3 linked regions of the Drosophila melanogaster genome follow. The protein of the gene in region 1 interacts with the protein of each later gene in a biochemical or structural test. Each region holds a gene or a part of one and is shown in the gene's direction. Other genes may lie near its edges.

What was found. The genes of interacting proteins can lie anywhere in the genome.
Region 2: the proteins of exd (region 1) and Dfd form a complex in vitro, tested with the Drosophila melanogaster proteins (one study listed by BioGRID).
Region 3: the proteins of exd (region 1) and Scr are reported together in a solved structure, tested with the Drosophila melanogaster proteins (2 studies listed by BioGRID, with this or other methods).

The regions. Positions count from the first base shown.
Region 1 is NC_004354.4:15,990,937-15,998,736, forward strand, and holds exd (extradenticle), read left to right. Parts: upstream 1-1,763; 5' UTR 1,764-1,988; intron 1,989-1,999; exon of another isoform or gene 2,000-2,177; intron 2,178-2,535; 5' UTR 2,536-2,572; coding exon 2,573-2,837; intron 2,838-3,028; coding exon 3,029-3,347; intron 3,348-3,410; coding exon 3,411-3,669; intron 3,670-3,748; coding exon 3,749-4,036; 3' UTR 4,037-5,573; downstream 5,574-7,800. Other genes in the region: CG46312 (uncharacterized protein), read right to left, coding at 147-168; CG8939 (uncharacterized protein), read left to right, coding at 6,188-7,800. UniProt on the Drosophila melanogaster protein: Transcription factor which acts with the selector homeodomain proteins altering the regulation of downstream target genes such as wingless (wg), teashirt (tsh) and decapentaplegic (dpp), thus affecting segmental identity.
Region 2 is NT_033777.3:6,788,892-6,795,426, forward strand, and holds the start of Dfd (deformed), read left to right. Parts: upstream 1-2,944; 5' UTR 2,945-3,433; coding exon 3,434-4,220; intron 4,221-4,605; coding exon 4,606-4,706; intron 4,707-4,771; coding exon 4,772-4,949; intron 4,950-6,535. UniProt on the Drosophila melanogaster protein: Sequence-specific transcription factor which is part of a developmental regulatory system that provides cells with specific positional identities on the anterior-posterior axis. Homeotic protein controlling Drosophila head development.
Region 3 is NT_033777.3:6,846,391-6,852,620, reverse strand, and holds the start of Scr (Sex combs reduced), read left to right. Parts: upstream 1-2,639; 5' UTR 2,640-3,076; intron 3,077-4,115; exon of another isoform or gene 4,116-4,705; intron 4,706-6,230. UniProt on the Drosophila melanogaster protein: Sequence-specific transcription factor which is part of a developmental regulatory system that provides cells with specific positional identities on the anterior-posterior axis.

The DNA.
Region 1 (7,800 bases):
ATTTTTAAGCTTATTTTTAATGTTAAAGTAACCTTGGATGGATCCGGATCTTGGTTAGTAGTAAGACATTATACAGTGGTCGGGATAAATATGTGTCTTAGATACAAATCGATTCAATGGGTTGTTGATGATTAACTATTACTTACCACCGTATCTTTCAAAAGTCATATAAGATTTTGTTTCCCCTCCTTTGGGGTGCGCAATGCCAGTTCGCAAATTAGACAAAGATATCGTACTCTCGGGTATTCTTTGTGAAGTCAATCGCAAATTGACTTGGAAAATATATATGGATAAATCAAAATCAAACAAATCGCACTGCCACGGGAAATCGATAACTTTTTTTTTTTTTGATAGCTCTGATTCCGTGCTAATATTGAAAAATATTAGTAACGCTTTTAACGCGCTTATGTATCGCAAAAATTGAAATTTTTGGTCTCTCAACTATTCTGCAAAGGGAAAGAAAATAAAATTAGGAATGCGCATGAACGAACATATGTATACCACTCCGTACTAAGTATTTCTTACATTACTTTAGTTTAGCTCAAATTTACTTATAATTTCGAAGGAAAAAGGTTAATTTAACATTCAAGTATATATATATTTTACATATATATCTTTTCCTATTACTTATGTATTCAGTACTTTTGTATAATGGCCATAAAAAACACTGTTGAAGCGTGATTTTTGTGTAAGCACGAAGTAAAGTAGCTTTATGCAGATATACACTAGACCCAACGTTACAAAAATTGTGGAAAACTGAATTATTTAGTATAGATATATATAAATGTACATTTTCATGCACGTATGCATTTACATATGGATGAAAGCCACGCCATTTAAACTTTTGAGGTTGTGTTCGTTTTGGTCACAATCACTTTTCAATACCTTTTCCACAAGTTTTCTATAAAGCGTTTCTGATCACAATGAAAGTAAATTAATAATTTTACTGAATTAACCGTTTAAGAAAAGATTTTCTCCGAAGTCCACGAACATACGACTAAACGTCACAGCACAATATGACCATAACGACTTTAGTGGGCTGCAGCCTATCACTATCGATTGGCCGAATATGATGTGAATGAATTTTAGCCTTTTCACACTTTCACTTTTATATAATTTATATGGTATTTATTAAAATGAAGATATGTAATAATACGCTTAAAAACGAAAGACCATTTTTAAAAATGAAGTTGACTAAAATAGAAACAAATATATGTGTTATATAATTAAACGTAGTTCCAATCAGCCTTTTAAAATATATGTTATAAGAGTGGATCATCTGTATTTCTTCTATATTCCAATACCAATATACCACATTTTTTGTAGAGGATATCTTATTTATTTTATTGAAAAAATGTTTAAAATATTATTTCAAGAGCCACATTTTAAATAGTATCGATACCCAACTCGCAGTGAGTAAGCACTAGAATGTAACTACGGGTAAGATATCGATTGTCCACGTTTTCACTAGCAAATATAAATTGCATTTTATGGAATACTTATCGATATTCTTACAGTACTGGAAAACTTTTTCATATCGATTTATTTTTCTGCGTATACAGAACGTACTTTCGTTTCATTGTTGTCCAAAAAAGATAATAATATTATATACTTGCGGTTATTTACAACTGCAAGTAATGTGTCACTAATTTTTAGTGAAAATAACACAAAATACGACTTGTACGGCAAATAAGTATACGAGGCAATCACGATAAATAAAAAACCGTGAGTATGGAATTTCAAGTGGACGCTTCTCAATACTTACATGCACATATATCGATGTGTGGATATGTACATACACCTTGTTATAAACAGTTTAAATCTTTTCTGACGTAATAAAATCTCAAGAATGTACATGTAAAACCAACAAAATGTTTTCAAACTGCATTCAAATTAATGCTTAACCATAACCTTGTGTGTATGTAAATATAAACTTGGCAGGTTGATTTTTTTTTACCATTCTGCTGGCACTAAACATACGTACAAGTGTATGTATGTGATGCACTCGGCGTCATTTATCTGTACATGTGTAAAATGTAACGTTACCTGTGGTACACAGCAATAAATAAATAGAAATAAGTTCATAAATAGTTCGGGTAACTGCCCAGCTTCGTGCTACGCATCTGAGATACTTTTTCACCCCCAAAAAGATATGCCGCTTCATGAGATTGCGACAGGTGGAGATTATTGCATTTCCAATAGGATACCAAAATGTCTTTTCACTTTTGCTCAAATGTCTGGGGGATTATTTTGTGGTGGGGTTTGTGGGTTTAATGGCTTTGTTGGTATCTCTTCTATAGATATGATGAATTTTGTAGCAAAAGATTTAATTGGTGTATTTGTTTTCAGTTTGTTAAGTATACATTAACTCAAGTTTTTACTACATTTTTAAGGGTTTCAAACTTATGTTTTTATATAAAAAAGAAATATTTATTAAATAATAAAACACTAAAAAATCGAATTGGTAGAAAAAATATTGGGTTATTTCCTTTTTTCTTGCATGATTTTAATATTTGATGTTTAATATTATTACAGAAACTTGGATTTGTAGCTTGCTTTGTGTTGCGGCACCATGGAGGACCCCAATCGCATGTTGGCCCACACCGGCGGCATGATGGCTCCGCAAGGATACGGCTTGTCTGGCCAGGATGATGGCCAGAATGCCGGCAGCGAGAACGAGGTGCGCAAGCAGAAGGACATCGGCGAGATATTGCAACAGATAATGAGTATCTCGGAGCAATCACTTGACGAGGCCCAGGCCAGAAAACATACACTAAACTGTCACCGAATGAAGCCGGCACTTTTCTCTGTACTTTGCGAAATCAAGGAGAAGACCGGTAAGCTTAAAACCCTATATTTATCTCTCATTCAAGACCATCAAATAAGTTGAAATGGTATTATGGATTTTGTGATTTGCTTGTGATACAATTGATTTACTAAATCAAACACAATTCTTAACGTAATAGTCTTAAAACGTTCAGTATGAAATTATTTTTATCATTCGTCTTCTTCGTTAAAACTATTACAGTCCTCTCGATTCGCAACACCCAGGAGGAGGAGCCCCCAGATCCGCAACTGATGCGCTTGGACAACATGCTGATTGCCGAGGGCGTGGCCGGACCCGAGAAGGGCGGTGGCGGAGCAGCGGCTGCCTCTGCGGCTGCGGCCAGCCAGGGCGGTTCCCTGTCCATCGATGGTGCTGACAATGCCATTGAGCATTCCGACTACCGTGCCAAGCTGGCACAGATCCGTCAAATATATCACCAGGAATTGGAGAAGTACGAGCAGGCATGCAACGAGTTCACCACGCATGTCATGAATCTTCTACGCGAACAGAGTCGCACGAGGTTGGTGTATATAGATAAATGCAAAATGATGGCCATCATTTGGGTAATATAATCGTATTTCAGACCCATTACACCAAAGGAAATCGAGCGAATGGTGCAGATCATCCACAAAAAGTTTAGTTCCATACAAATGCAGCTGAAGCAGTCGACCTGCGAGGCTGTAATGATACTTCGTTCGCGTTTCCTGGACGCACGCCGCAAACGCCGCAATTTCAGCAAGCAGGCATCCGAGATTCTCAACGAGTACTTCTACAGTCACTTGAGCAACCCATATCCATCCGAAGAGGCCAAAGAGGAGTTGGCACGAAAGTGTGGCATCACGGTAAGTAGTGTAGGGCACATTAATCAACAATGCAAATCCGATTGCAGCATAGTAAATAAAACAAAACACACTCATGCAGGTCTCGCAAGTATCGAATTGGTTTGGCAACAAGCGTATTCGCTATAAGAAGAACATTGGTAAGGCACAGGAGGAGGCCAATTTGTATGCGGCCAAGAAGGCGGCTGGTGCTTCACCGTATTCCATGGCCGGTCCACCCAGCGGGACAACCACACCCATGATGTCACCCGCTCCGCCACAGGATTCCATGGGCTATCCAATGGGCTCCGGCGGATACGACCAGCAGCAACCGTACGACAACAGCATGGGCGGCTACGACCCAAATCTCCATCAGGATCTAAGCCCCTGAGGATCAGGGCTGTGAACCACTCCCAGTCCGGAGAATCCCTCATACAGTTGCGGTCAAAATAACTGCGCTGAAAAATCTAACATGCAGTTTTTTCATAATTATGCGGCTTATATTTGCTTCTTCGCCAAGAACAACAATTCTTAAGGGATTTTTAAATTCAGCTTTCTGTCCTTTGGTTTCGAGTCAGATAAGTTTAAAATTCCCATCAATTTAGATATAGTTCCGATAGATATACATAAATACGTGAGTAGAATATAAATACGTAATAGTTAGTTTGTGCTTGCTACATTTTGGTTGGCAGAAAAAACTTTGCCTGCTTAAATCAAAAAAGAAAGTAAATAAGCTGATATGGTTTTTTAATTGACACAGTCTCCTGCTTTTTAACAATATATGCATGCAGGATGTATTAAGAAGTCGACAATTGAATAATGGCCTAATTAAGAATATTTTTTGCCCGAACATAAAACGAAAAGTTTGCTCGCTTTTTTTTTTTAATTCACAATCAATTGAAATGGAAAGCATGTTGTTTGTGGCATGTCAACTGTAAAATACATAAATACGTAATAATTCGCTTAAGCGATTATAATTTGATCAACGTTCTTTAAAAAGGGTTAATAACCAATGCAGTGACTTTTTCTGCATAGCCCCATTTAGCTTATATATTAACCATCGAAAACATATGCAAAGAAACTCGATTAAACTGGTAGTATACGAATATTTTCACAACGAGTGGAGGAGGCACAAGTTTCAGAGCTATTATTTTGACCGCAGCTGTGTATAAATATATTTTAATACATTTACCTACATTTGCGGGTATATACAAATATTGCATGTAAATCATACTATGACGATTCTTTTTTGGCTACAGTACGTATACGACAGCAAAATAGTGTTTACTGAATTTAAAACTGTACGAAATTTTTAAAAACTTGAACAATACGAAAATACGAAACTAAACCATGTATACGATGTATATCAAATAAATAAATAATACATGTTGTTGTTATCCGCACACACGTCAACTAATTACAAAAATATTTTGAATGTAAAAACGGAAAAGAAAAGTCTTGGATAAACAAAATGTCACATTTCTATCGAAGGACGAATTGTATTATTTAACAGCTTATAACATTTAATAGATTTATTAACGTGTATTTTAAAAGTCTCAAAACAATTGTTTGTTTCTTACATCCTAAAAAGTATTAAACATTAAATCTTAATGGATTTCTTGCTATAAAAACGAACTTCCCAACTTAATTGCATTATAAAATCAAGAACAAATTCGTCTTTCGCTTAGTAAGAAGTGTACACTACTCTTTGCCCCCAATTAAAACGGATATGAAAACAGATTATTTGAAAGTATACAAAACGATTATAATTTTAAATGATAAATAACATATGTCTTTGACAGACTTTCGCTCACATTACGGTCAAATGAAACCATTCAATGTATTTCAGTAAGTAAGGTACTGCATTAAACATTTTGGATAACAATAGAAAAATATATAAATACACAACTTTACACAAATAACTTAATAAATCAAAACGAAGTATTAATTAATGGTTTTTTGGGAGTATTAAAGAAAAGGGCGTTATCCTTTGCAGATAATCTATACACGTAATAGAAAGAGATGGAGCATCTGTAGATACACTTGCTCTTCTTTAATTAAAACTATCTGGCTCACAGATAGAAATCATTCTTTTATGTGGGGTTGGTCAATAAAAACAGAAGAATTTTAATTTTTTAGATTTTTGGCAGCTGTAAAACAGACAAAAAATTTTAATTTTAGGCGTATTTTATTTTTATTATGGTTCATTACGGCTTAATGTACTTCACCCCACATCTTACAGTTATTCCCAAAAGTGTGTAGTAATTTATATAAATCACTTTGATCGACCAATTTTAAATTTATAAATAATAAAGTAGAAATTTTAAAAAAATTCACCCGCTGCCCCAATGCATTCCACAATTTAAGAACACGTTCCACTTATCTAGCACTCAATCGCCGCTACCTTGACGCGCATGCTGGCACTGCCCGGAATACTTTGAATTGTCAATACGGCCACACTGTTGGCAACACGTGCACGAATTCGACATTTGATTTGAATTCGTTTTGATTTTTATCGTAATTGTACGAAAAGCCAGCAGCAATGGGCAAGAAGACGAAAGTTGGAAAGACGCGCAAGGATAAGTTCTACCAGTTGGCCAAGGAGACGGGCCTGCGATCGCGTGCCGCCTTCAAATTGATCCAGCTGAATCGCAAATTCGGTTTCCTCCAACAATCGCAAGTATGTTTGGATTTGTGCGCAGCTCCCGGTGGCTGGATGCAGGTGGCCAAGCAGAATATGCCGGTGTCCAGCATTGTGATCGGCGTGGATCTCTTTCCCATCCGTCCCATTGCCGGCTGCATTGGTCTCGTCGAGGACATCACCACCGAGAAGTGCCGCCAATCGCTGACCAAGGAGCTGCAATCGTGGAAGGCCGATGTTGTGCTCCACGACGGTGCTCCCAATGTGGGTAGGAACTGGCTGTACGATGCCTATCAGCAGATCTGTCTCACCCTCAACGCGCTCAAGTTGAGCACACAGTTTCTGCGCAACGGCGGCTGGTTTGTGACGAAGGTTTTCCGCTCCAAGGATTACAATGCCCTGCTCTGGGTGCTCAAGCAGCTGTTCAAGAAGGTGCACGCCACCAAGCCGAGTGCGTCGCGTAAGGAATCCGCCGAGATATTCGTCGTCTGTCAGGGCTACCTGGCGCCCGATCACATTGATCCCCGTCTCCTGGACTCGAAGTATGTGTTCGAGGAGCTGGATCTCGATGCCAAAAAGAAGAGCAGCCTGCTGCATCCCGAAAAGCAAAAGCGCATCAAGGCCGAGGGCTATACGGCCCAGGATATTGCGCTGCGCAACGATCTGGCTGCCACAGAGTTCCTGAAGGCTGAAAATGCACTGGCTGCGCTGCAGGGCATCGGTTCGATTCGCATCGATGATCAGCGCATTGCCAATCACAAGAAGACCACGCCAGAGATTCTCGAGTGCTGCAAGGATCTGAAGGTATTGGGCCGCAAGGATATCAAGGGTCTCGTGCAATGGTGGAAGGATGTTAGGGAGTTGTTCGTTGAAAAGGAAACCCCACTGGTCGTCGGCAATGCCGCAGATGAGAAGCCCAAGCCATTGACGCAAGCGGAAATCGAGGACATGGAAGATGCCGAGCTGCAAACGCAAATTGAGACAATTGTCGAAGAGGAGAAGAAGGACTTGAAGCGTAAGCGTAAGAAGACGCTCAAGACCAAGGCGAAATTGCACGAGAAGATGAACCTTAATATGGTGATCAAGGGAGACGATGGTCCGGTCGAGGAAATGGAGCACGAAATCTTTGACCTCAAGAATATTCGCACCTCTGCCGAGCTTGACGAGCTGCTAGACGTGCAACCCGATTTTGCTGTCGATGAATCGCAGCCCGAGGAAACAAAGCTGCCAAAATACAAGTATTTCGACAAGGATGAGGGCAACATCAACGATGATCTAAACTATGACGATGACAATGATGAGGAGCAAAGCGAGGCCTCCGACGACGAGGATCAAATCAATGATAAGCAGGGCCTGGGCCTCAGTGACGACGACAATGATGAGGGCAATGCAAAGGGCAAAAACAAGAGAAAGAAACGCTCCGAGAATCCGCTGATTAAATCCAATGATTTCCGTGACAAAAACACCAAGCGAGAGCAACGCGTACAGCTGTGGTACGAGAAGGATGTACTACA
Region 2 (6,535 bases), on another chromosome or scaffold:
CCTATATAAAATAATCAAATTACAACACTCTGCAGTGGTATCAAACACGCTGGGCGTCTTGGCGTTGCCAAAGTTTAAAAACAAACTTGGGCAGCATGTTTTTTTTATGTGTTGCTAAAATTTCCATGTTCCTTCATTGGGTTAAAGCTTTAACATACAAAAATTACAAAATAACTTCAAAAAGTTTTAAGAATTGAAAGTTATTCCTAATTTTTCTAAATATACAAATTGTTTTAAGGTCTCTTGTGCCATTCCAATGATTAGCATTTACATAATTGCAAATATTAGTGAACTTATCAGTTGTTGTGGATACCACCCATTTTGCATAACATTATTCGATCGCCGTAGAGTGCTTTTTAATTTTATATCACAAAGTTTTGATGGCTGGCTTAAAGAAGCGAGCTGAAAACAAAGAAAGTCCATACTCAAAGCATGGTGGCTCTCTATATGTATTCGCATTGGTGGTCGTAATGTGCCTCAGTGGATGTGGATGCGACATCATTAATCACGTTTCAGTGTGTTGCCTCGTGCAGCAAGTGAACTTCCTTCTGCCGCCGCCTGACAGTCGCAACTGATTGCTGGATCTGAATTGGGATTTGGACTCAAATGCCCCGGACAAAGAGCAAGCAATAGCAACAAACACCCACTGTCCCCCAACCGAGCCATCCTCGTTGTACCACAACCCATCCTCCCTGCTGGCTCAGGGAGCCCTCATCCCTGCGCAAGCTGGGACTTTCCCAAACCTCCCACATCGTGCTTCCATCCACCTAAGGAGCTACGTCAGAACTGAGAAAATTCGATGTAGCAGCCGCTAATGCAACTGAGTTTTAAAGGTCCTCAAGCAGCAGCCATTCAGGAGTGTAATATGCTAAGCATGGAATCTAAATTTGGTACTATCTTTAAAAATTTTAAATACATAAGAAATTAAATAACAGTTTTCTGATTTTAAATTTTCGAGAAATATAATAATGTAATTTAAAAGCAATTATATTTTTGGATTTGGACCAAAGTTATTTGTAAACAAATATGCGTAATGAATCACACAGTAAAATTAGTAAACATGGAACTTCCATTAATTAACACTAGCTGGTCAATTAATTCGAACACTTTAACGTGGAATGAAGACCTAAACCAACATTTACTCCTATGAGTCTGGCCGACGGACCACAGACTAAATTTAAGTTTTATAAACTTAACTAGCCTAATGACGTTTTGATGGTGACCATCAAAATCGAATCAGTTGGAAGTCGATTAATTAGTGGCCATGCCCCTATACCGCTCACATATGGAACTGGTGAAGGAGGTGGCACAGCACGTGGACCTGATTGTAAGGGGGTTAAGATATTTTTGGTGGGTTTACCGGAGGTCCAATTATTCGGCAATTAGCCAGAGTCACTTTCAGAAACACACTCCAGAAGTGTGACACGAATTTATGCTCAATTTAACTTTTATTTGAAGTGAGTTAGGGCAGCTGGCTCTATAGGGTCAGCAGATTTCAAACTTATTAAAATATATATCACAAAAATTTAAAATCTGTTGAATTCATTAAGCGAAATAATCAAAAGTTTGTATGATATTACCTATAAATAAATTGTTAATATTCCGCATTGCTCGAAGTACGAATTTAAAAGTACAAGCCATATTTTCTTTTACCCACATTATGGATTGTTATGAATCAGTCTAAATATTTACTAAAAACAATATTAAAGCATTAAATATCCAACCTTCTCGATGTGCATTATACAACAATCATTCTATTGATTTTCCACGTTTCGCTTGCTCCATTTGAATATGTGCCCGTCATCGCCATAACAACAACATCGGAGGAAAAATCACGGTAGTAATGACAACAATAATAACAGCCTTAGCCCCAGCCAGACCACAACAATAATCACAGAGGAGAACAAAGTGATATTCGTTGGTTGTTCAATTGAAATTGTTGCAAGTCAGCTCGGACTCTCCAACTCGGTAGCTGAATTCAGACGAAGAAATCGGCATCCAATAGTACCGTCCCCTCTTTACGATCAATACTGTTGTTACCCACGCGTTCTCTGCATCGTTCCTACAGAATCCATTTATGAAAGTGGAAAATAAATGGTGTGCTCCATATCCACACTTACGTCTTGTCCGGGATCGATGAAAGCCTTCTGAAAATGGGCGGAGTTTCTTGGGTCCAGACAACTTTTTCGTCGAGTTCAATTTTCGAGCGTGCGCCATGACTTTGAAGGTACCAGCACACTCACAGCAAAAGTACAACCAAAATAGTAAGTCTGAGGGAAGAACAGTCGAGGGTAGGTAAGTAGGTGTGCTAATGAGCTAAACAGTGCTGTTTGAGATATAAATATAACATTGAATCAATTCAGAAATCCTATTTCTCTATGTAGACAATTGCGTTTTTAATTTTCTATTCGATTTACTGTCATTTCAATTTATTAATCCTTGGAAAGTAAAATAAGCTTATTTCGTAAAAAAATAAATAAGACGTTACTAAAATATAAAAAAAATATATACACTGTACAGTAAAAGTAAAATTATATTTTAAAGTTTTAATTAATGGCTTTTTATTTTTTTTTTTTAAGAATACTTCTTTGAACTAGTTCAATATTGTATGCCTTGACTGTTCACGCAACTCAAAATGGGTGTGACCAAAGATCTGGCCATCCCGCTTTAACCACAATGCTCCCTCTCAGTCGCGCTTGCGAGAGAACTATGGTCAGTGGTGGAAAATGGCGTACGAGGCGAAGGGTGAGAAAAGGTGAACAGACATGGCTGCTACATATGAATGGCTTTATTTGTGCGCGTGTGTGGGCCGTCCTTCGATTGCTTCGGCAGTGAAAACCCGTTTTGATGGCAATGGCGGTGAGAGAGAGCGAGCGAGAGCACAAGCAAACAAGAGCGAAGAGTGGCGAAACAGGTTCGCTCGCACGGAGAGTTATCGCCAGCGAGCATAACAAAAAATCGGCTCGAATGGGACGGTTCGTGTTCGCAGCGCACTCGTAAGACCGAAACGTCCGACTTTTCTCCCTGTGTGGGATTGAAATTCGTTGTAAAAACGTTTTTTATAACCGGAAAATAACACCATAATCAAGTTTCTCAGAATTCCAAGGCCCCACGGCTTTTAAAAGTGACAAAAAAGTGCAAACAAAGTATAATCAAAACAATAAAAGTGAAAATTATGAAGACAACGGGAGCCTTCTAACCCCTTTGTTTAGTTAAAAATATTAAAAAGAATACGAAATTTATTTTAACCAACACAATCTTAAAAGTAATTACTACTTGCAAAAGCAGCGCCTTTAATCAATAGTTAATGTACTAAAAGCAAAAGGTTCGGAGTATGTGCAATCCAAGTGATAGTGCCCAAGAAAAAATCGAATAACAAAGTAATAACCAGGAAAACGCATCCGGTGAACCCCGATCCAACAGACCTTCCGTCATGAGCTCTTTTCTCATGGGTTATCCGCATGCACCACATCATGTCCAGAGTCCCATGTCCATGGGCAATGGCTTGGACCCAAAGTTTCCGCCGTTGGCCGATGACTATCATCACTACAATGGACACTATTCGATGACCGCATCTACGGGTCATATGAGTGGTGCCGTCGGCGGTGGTGCAGGTGTTGGGTCTGTCGGAGGTGGTGGAGCAGGTGGGATGACTGGTCATCCGCATTCCATGCACCCGGCGGACATGGTCAGTGACTATATGGCGCATCACCACAATCCGCACAGCCACTCCCATTCGCACACCCACTCACTACCGCACCACCATAGCAACAGTGCAATATCTGGACACCACCAGGCATCCGCCGGCGGTTACAGTTCCAATTATGCCAATGCCACTCCGCCCTCACATCCGCACTCGCATCCACACGCCCATCCGCACCAGAGCCTCGGCTATTACGTCCACCACGCCCCCGAATTCATATCCGCAGGAGCGGTGCACTCCGATCCCACGAACGGATACGGACCGGCGGCAAACGTTCCAAATACGAGCAATGGCGGTGGTGGCGGAGGAAGTGGCGCAGTGCTCGGAGGTGGCGCAGTGGGTGGATCGGCAAATGGATATTACGGCGGGTACGGTGGGGGTTATGGGACGGCGAACGGAAGTGTGGGCAGCACCCACTCCCAAGGACACTCGCCGCACTCCCAGATGATGGATCTGCCCCTTCAGTGCAGCTCCACGGAACCACCGACGAACACGGCGCTGGGACTGCAGGAATTAGGTGAGTCCATACTAATAGAATTTCTGTTGTCTCTTGGAATCCGTTGAGATTTGATAGGAGGATATACTTAGTACTATTTCAATAATCTGAAGATTATCAATCGATCCTTATATTAAATATATATTTATATTTATATTTATATAATTATTTTTTTTATTTATATATCAATTCCATAGCAAAGTCATTTTACATTCGTATATCCAAACCTTTTAAAATGTCTAGGGAGCAGATTGAGAAAAACACTTAAAATAAGCCCACAAGATTGTTATGCCGCATAGTAATATTAAAAAAGATCTAATATTTTGTACATATATAAGCCCTTCAATTCGATTTTAGCTACTCTAATTACACTGTACCAAACTAAAGTGACTTCCATTCCATGCAGGCCTAAAACTAGAAAAACGCATAGAAGAAGCTGTACCTGCCGGACAACAACTGCAAGAGCTAGGGATGCGATTGCGGTGTGATGATATGGGATCCGAAAACGTAAGTACTTGCAGCAGATGTGCCAAGAGAGAATGCGTAATCGAGGCCTTGATTGACTTGTTTAGGACGATATGTCAGAGGAGGATCGGCTCATGCTGGATCGATCTCCAGACGAGCTGGGCTCCAACGACAACGACGACGACCTCGGGGACTCAGACAGCGATGAGGATCTGATGGCGGAGACGACCGATGGCGAACGGATCATCTACCCCTGGATGAAGAAGATCCATGTGGCGGGAGTTGGTAAGTTGAAAGTTTCTCTTTATCTCCTGCTCTCCCCTTCGCGCCCATGTCGTGTCCCATTTTTCGGGGTATGCTAATTAAATTACTTAGCTGCCAACACCCACTTGATTCACTGACAGGCCCCTGTAATGTTCGTTCCTGGGCGAAACCCAAAATGAAAATAAACAATCTAAAAGCCAAAGACACCAGCCAACCGAGTAACTTAAAAAAGAAAACTGCGACTCCAAGCTCATTAATCAAAATCAAGAGTGCCACGCCTTGCGTCGAGGGGCGAACCGTGTTCACCAAACGACAAGTTCCTGTACATACTACTCCTATATAATATAATATAATGCACATAACGTTAAGTGAGTCCCACTCGCTGCAATCAGCACTTTAAGAGGCTCCTGGTTATTAGGCCTCTTCAGAGGTTCTTTCAGCACTTGAACTGACATAAAATCAACTTGGACTGCTGAATGGTACGGTGCCAATTGATACATCATAAAAAGTCATCCTGGGAATGTAGTATAGAGCTGCATATATATGTAGTTTTTTTTTTTAGGCAATTGAAACATTTTTGTCTAGGAAGAAACAATCGTTAAATTAAACCTCGAAGATATTTTAACGAACACTCATTCTCATTTCAATGTTCTTCTGAAAAATTGTATGTATCCATTCATATGCTTAGCCCCCAGAAAATAATTTCCAGGCTCTCTGAATTATACACAGTAATTTTCTAAGGCCTACAATGAAAGCTTTTTCGACTCATTCTTGGCACAAAAACTGAATGCAACTTGGACATGGAGAACAGGTTTCTTGCCTGGTTTCATTCACCAGATCCAGAGACCGACTGAATGGGCTCAGTTGAGTTGACCTGGCAGAAATAATTACTAATTAATTGTCACCCCCCAAACGGGGAATTCATTCAGCCATGTTTCGAGTGTGTTACCAACAACATCTGACGGCCAACTGTAGATTGTCGTCGCTTATTGTTTTAATAAAACCAAAATAGGGATGCCACGGGGCGGCAAGTAGGTGACGAATGCGTTTCCCAGAGGATCGGATGGAGGTCTGAAGCTACTGATAGATTGCTTTTTAATTAGCACAGCACAGTACACAGGGATACTCCAGTTCGACCATAACCTTGACCCAAATGGGTAATTATAACGTTTCGCTTAACGCCACTCCGACTCGCTCATTGTCAAATGCCTCATCGGTTCATCGGGTTCCCAGTACCCACTCCCGATTTACTTGACTGTGGAAATTTGTCGTTTCACTGAAAAAAATATAGTACATAATTCAAAGTTGGCTTCAAACTAAAGGGTTTTTAAATAATTTCTAATTTTTAATAATCCAATTAAACATGTTAACATGATGAAATTTGGCTTTACAGTAGGAACCGAGGGTCATATAAAAGCAATGGCTTAACTATATTATTAATATATACCATTACACATTTATTGTGTTCGTACCGGTTTCTAAGATGCTATTTCTAATATTGGGACATTTAAAATAAAACAACAAAGCCCGCATTTGATTTTCTTTATTGTGGAAAGTTTTTCTTAGTGTCAGCATCAAAAATCAAACCCAAAAACGAAATATCGAAG
Region 3 (6,230 bases), on another chromosome or scaffold:
CGTGCCTTACTGCTCCTTTCGTGTACACCAGTGCCTCCTGCCCTGGTTCATCGCTTAAGCTCAGCTGTTGTCTCCTCCTAATGACCTCCAAGGCCCTTCTCCGCAGAACCGCTTACCCAGTCTCAAGACCAAGAAGTCCTCCCCCACCCCTGACCAACTTGGCCAGCCATCTTGTTCAACTAAGTAGCTCGCCTGACAGCTGAGCAACGTTTGTCATAATCAAATGTGAATGGACTGACACTGACACAGGGGCTCTACGGACTGAGGACTGAAAACTGAAAACTGGTAGCTGCCAAAAAGCAGAGAGAGGAAATTAATTTAAATTGGCCTTTAATGTAAATGCATCTCTCAATGCATCGCCAACTGCAGTTGGTTCTGTAGGAGTTTGCTCCGCTCCAGATACAGCTTATATCCCGACTAACACCGACTTGTGTTTGCCCCCAAATTGGGGGTATTTATCAACTACTCGTAGACATGGACTACCCATCCTACAACCAATTTCAAGAACCCCCATTTCCATTACGGATGCGTGAAGAACTCAAATGGCAAGGTATTAACGAATTGTCGTGAGTTTGGTTCGGGGAGGGGTATTCATTTTTCTTGGATCGTTTAATTGGAAACTGTTGCTGTTGCAGTTTCGTTGATGCACTGAGACAAAATCATACTAACATTAATTTTAACCTCTCTTGCTATTCAAATATAAAGCCCCAAATAGTAATAAAATTCAGTAATTGTGTATGGAAAAGAAAAAAAAATTTGTTTAAATAAACAGTTTAATGTTTGGAAAAGTAAATTTAAAATTAGTTATAAATATGTTACATTGTATTATAAAAGTTACCATAAGTGCGTTACATAAGTTACAAAGTTTTTCTTTGTGTTTTTTCTATGTCCAGATTTAATTCAAAAATTCCAACTTCGCGTTACGCGCTGTTTTCTTTAACTAAAAACAAAATACAAACGCTGCTGATTGTTTCATATTAAAAATTGAGCGTGTGTGTGCGAGGGGCAACATTTACAATCGGAGGCAACATGCAAGCGATGATGAAAAATCGCCTGCAACATGTTGGATGCTGCTGGGGACCCTCCATGGATCTAGAATGGAATGGGATCCGAGAGGATGCTATGCTATGCTATGGATTGGGATACGAGAGTCTGGCGCTGGCTGCCCGCTGGCATCGCCAACATCAACTCCAATTACAGAAGTACACGCAGGCGTCTCTCTTATGATTTTTTTTTTTTAGTTTTTCATTTATTTTCCATCATTTGTTTTTTTCTATACTTTTATATGGTTTGTGGATGATGCGGGCCAACCATAAAGAGCTGACATGTGTGTTTCAAAAACACAGCGGAAAACATATGGCAAAAAATACGACTTCTATAAGAAGAACAAATCGAATTGGTACATAAACTTAAGCTATAAATTCCGAAATACGTACTTACAAAATTTATTTATATTTTAATAAACATATTTTCGAAAGAATTGCTGATTTCGCGTTTCGGGTTTCGAAAGTAACCGTTCAGTACCACTTAAAAAAACACTTTTATTACAAGTTCGTATCAAATAAACGTATTAAGTTTATACGTTTTTAAATAAGATAATTTTTAAGACACTCACTATAAATACTTATTAAAACAAACTTTTGCTTTTGCAATATATTACGAATGACCTATGCCATTTATCTGTATTTGGTATATGTTTGTGGTTTCGCAACATAAACGTTAGATTCCAAAAATAAAAATAAAAAAAATAATCTCATTCAAAATCGATTTTGGGTGTGTCTTAACCAGCAACTCATTTTTATGATAAAAAATAGCTAATCAACATTTAAATCTCCGAGACAAACTAATCAATTGAATTCAAATTCAAATGACGCCAAAATCAAACCATATGTGTGTTCAGCTCTGAATGCGATGCTGGATTGTTGGTAGCAAATATGAAATCGACTTTTAATTAAGGCATTTAGCCAAACAAATCAAAATCGTTAAGCCCCGATGCTGAATGAATCATGAGAACTTGAACTTGGCTACGGCCCAAAGAGAACCCGATCCGCAGCCCCGAAACAGACCGATAAATTTAAATTCAGAGACAACTGCCAACGAGCTCGTTTTAAAGGAGGAATAACTTAAGCTTCAGCAGGAGACTTTGCATTTTGCCAGGCCAATAAAAATGGAAATGAACGCGGAGCGGAACGTTTATAAAATAATAATGCGAAATAATAATGTGGCGGTGATTTAGCGGAACAGTGCCACGATTGAATACAAATAAAGTGGGGGAGACGCCTAATCTAGGATGATTTCGGCCTAATCTGGAGCGTGAACCGGGGGCAGATGTGTCCTGGAGTGGCTGCCAACTACCTGTTTTTTCTCGCTTTTCTCGTATTTCTCGCTTTTCTCGAGAGCGCGCTTTTCCCCAAATCGAGGGAAAAGCTGGAGCGCCATAGGCCGGTTGCCGTGGCACCCTCGTCGCATAAATCAAGACTGGGGGCGGAGTCTGCCGTGGGTGCAAGTGGGACAGCAGGATTTTCGAAAATGCGCACTGTCCGTCCTCTCTCTCGCACTCGTTGGCCGGGTCCTCAAATGATTTACAGTGTTCGAAACGCACACAAGGCAACGCACGAGAGGGTCGTTTTGTCGGTTTTTATGGCTCAAACGTGAATTGAACGTGGCGCACTTCAGTCGCCAAGCAGCGCGCTCGGTCTTCTGCAAACATAAAAAGATACAGATACACGTTCTCGTATTCGTACGCGTAGCAATCCGCGAAGTTTCCGCTTGAAAGCCAGTCTTGCGATTCCATGGAAAGCTCTTTGGCGACGGCAAGGTGCCATGGTCTCCCCATAGCGGATACTTTACCGACTAACTCCTTTACATAGGAGCGGAATTACCTACCCACCTCAAATAATTTCTCAAACTGCTCATCTTCGCAAATAACTAAGATAGCAAAGTGCAGTGCAAAAGGCAAATACAATTAATACGAAAATAAAAAGTATACAGTGAAGTGCTGGCTAAGAAAACTAATTGAATTACAACGACTTGTTCGTAGCGTCTGATTGGATTTCCCCAAATCGTCCACATAAAGGTAAGAAAATAACAAACGTAGAAAAACTAAACTCTGAATGTAAGAAGAAAATTTAAGAAAGTTTTGCCCTTAAAGGTTTAAATGAAACCATCGATATATCGTTAAATGGTTCCTTTTAACCTTTCTAAACTTTTCCACTCAAATCATTCTGAATTAAAACTGCACTGTGGTGTGGAGGATTGAATATTTTAGAGTCAATTTAACAAACAATAAATATTGTAGAATACAAAAAAGGTGTCAATTGTAAAAAATCAATATAATATATATATATATATTTTTTATAAATATATATTATTTTAGCAAGTTCAGAAATCCAATTACTTTACTTCTTTGCAATACCTCCAAATGTTATATAAACTAACTGCACACTTAACTAAAAAAAAATATATGAACAACATTAAAAATATATATTAAATCTTCAGAGACAGATTTTACTTCTCCAAACTCCCAAAATGAGTCCCAGAGTCTTGATTTTATCCCAACTAGCCCAAAGTACGGAGTTCGAATGTTTATGATTTGGTCCCCCGAAATCGATCTCACACGGACAGTGTCGGTGAGAACAATAAGACTTTAGTCGCAGTTCGAAACATGATTTTCGAACTACCGAGTAACGATCTCTCTCAATAAGAACTTGTTCGAAACACGCGAGAGCGGTGCTTTTCGAACTACCGCTCTTTCGAACTCACACACACACACACCGATGTGTCGTATTCGTATCCGTGAGATACAATTTGTGGGAACGAATTTCTGGTTTGGCGGTTGATTCGAAACGTTCTTCGCGTCCGCAAAGGTAGTTTCAGCACATGCCTGAGAGCGAGCGAGATGGCGGAGCGGCGCAATGCCCGTTGTCTCTCTCGCACACTTTTCGAATAATGAACACTGCACTTGGACGACGATATGTAGCTGTATAGCCATATAGCCTTACTTGCTCGTACTCGCAGATACAATTGGACGGGGGAAATGGAGCAGTATGAGTGAGCCAGAGCGCTGGCGTATCTGTGTTTTTTATTGATGCTCAGAAATTTGAATTATGCCCGAGCAGTCAAAGTGAGACATTGGCGCTTCGAGCACGTATCCGCGGATACACCGGAATAACAGAAAAAAAAGCACAAATAAAAAAACTCAAACAATCCAACACTCAGCTGTTCCGCGTGTAAAGACCCTCGAATACTGTTCGATTTTAGCGAAAGATGGATGGACTGCAAAGTGCTTGCATCGATGCTGGCGCTGATGGACAGTCATAAATTCGGCGTGAAATTCGCGCAGATACTTAGATACTCCGTCATAGCGCATATACTTATCGTGATCTGTAACAAATTGCGCGTGTGCTTGTGTGTTTGTGATACCAAAAGCCGTCCAAATCCGTCGCTTAGCCCTTTGCGGCCAATTACCCATTAGAACCATCCAAAACATAAGCCTGCAGGTAGGACGCAAAAGTCTAGCCAGTTTGCCCTCAGGATGCCATCGGATTAATTTCCCAGATATCCGGCTGGTTGTGACAATTCTACCTTCGTAATTGTGCACGTTGATTTCCGCACTCAGCACAAGTGAAAATCGTGGTTCAGTGCAGTGAAAATCAGAAAACAAACTCACTTGAACGGAGGTGAACGCCGTCGGCTAACTAAAATTGTGAGTAAACGAGTTTAACGGCTGAAAATATTTTAAGCGCTTTGGAACAGGTGAAAACAGTCATGGAAAGGATATTTATTCGTTGTCAGTTTTTGTTTTGTATTTTCTAGTGTTTTTTTTTTTGATGTGTTAAGAACTTATGTAGCAATATTTGGTCTAAAGCAATTTAATTATAGTTTTTTCTTAACAATTTGATGCGATTTTATTTATCAAATAATATTTACAATAAAAAAGTGCTTTGTTCGTATGTACATATTTTTTTAAGTAACAATATTTCTACCACCTTAAATTTTATTTTTAATCTTACAATCTTTATCTTGTACTTTGACTTTCTTATTGAAGAAATAATACCAACACTAGTAAGTTAAAAAAAAATAAGAAATTTTTAATTTCTTTAATAAATCAATTTAATATTCTTTGAAGAAATCATCAAAGGTGCGTAATAATTTCCCCTGTTTGCTTCTTAAGACACTCCATATCAAATAATATAATTTGAAAAAATCAATGAAATATATTTTGATACCTAGTAACCGAACCCAGAAAATACATTTTATATATTTCCCTATATCGGGGCTTTGTTTCTGTATTCTGTTTAAGCAATTTTTCATAAGGTTGCGTGTGCGGTATCAACGCAAGGAATTTTCACTTCATTAAAGCGAAATGCAGCCGCTTTTGAAATAATTAAGAGGCACAAAGGCGAAATGTCACAGCGAATGAAAAATGCCTAACAAGCGCCGCATATAGAAGGTTAATCCAGACACATAGCGTTATATACCGAGCCCAAGCTGGGATAGGGATGAAGAAATGCCCACGATATAGGCTTGGCTACTATCCGGGGAACTCGAACTCATGCTGGCCAAGACGCCATGGGGCGAACATGAAATTATGTAAAATAAAAGAAGACGCACTGGGCTGGAACTTCATGGGACTTTGCCAATGACCGAGTAAAGGCGATGCTCCTGGGCAGTATTCTACATCCCGGCATGGCATCCCACATGTGCTCTAGTCGTAAGTGGATGAAATTCCACTTGATGTAGGTCACTTTCATTCGCCCATCTCGCCAAGGGTGGGCCAAGATCAAAGAGCTGGAGAGCTGGCTGCATCGATTGCATAATATGGGCACAACACTGAGACAGTTGCAGGCCCAGTAACAATTCCACTCCGAATTGCAGTCTATACGGCTAATTGGAGGGTAGGGGCCAGTCCAAAGTTCTACGAGTGTCTTCAGCAGCGCTGTAATTTATTTGGCCTGCGCCTGGCGGAGACATTCATCATGGCCTAACCCCGGCTCTTCCTGACGCCCCCCTCAAATATTTCAACAATACTCGTTCATATTTATAAATCAAAATCGCAAGCACGCAAGCTGAAAATTTGTGCTAGAGTCGTTGATCTATTGGCCGCAAAAATGGCAGGCCGTTCTAACAGGAATAGAAAAGTCTACAATAAAAGCTAGAGTAGCAAAACGAAAAGATACAAGACCGAAAGACAAAATAATACAAAAGAGGTTGGAACAGCATATATTGAA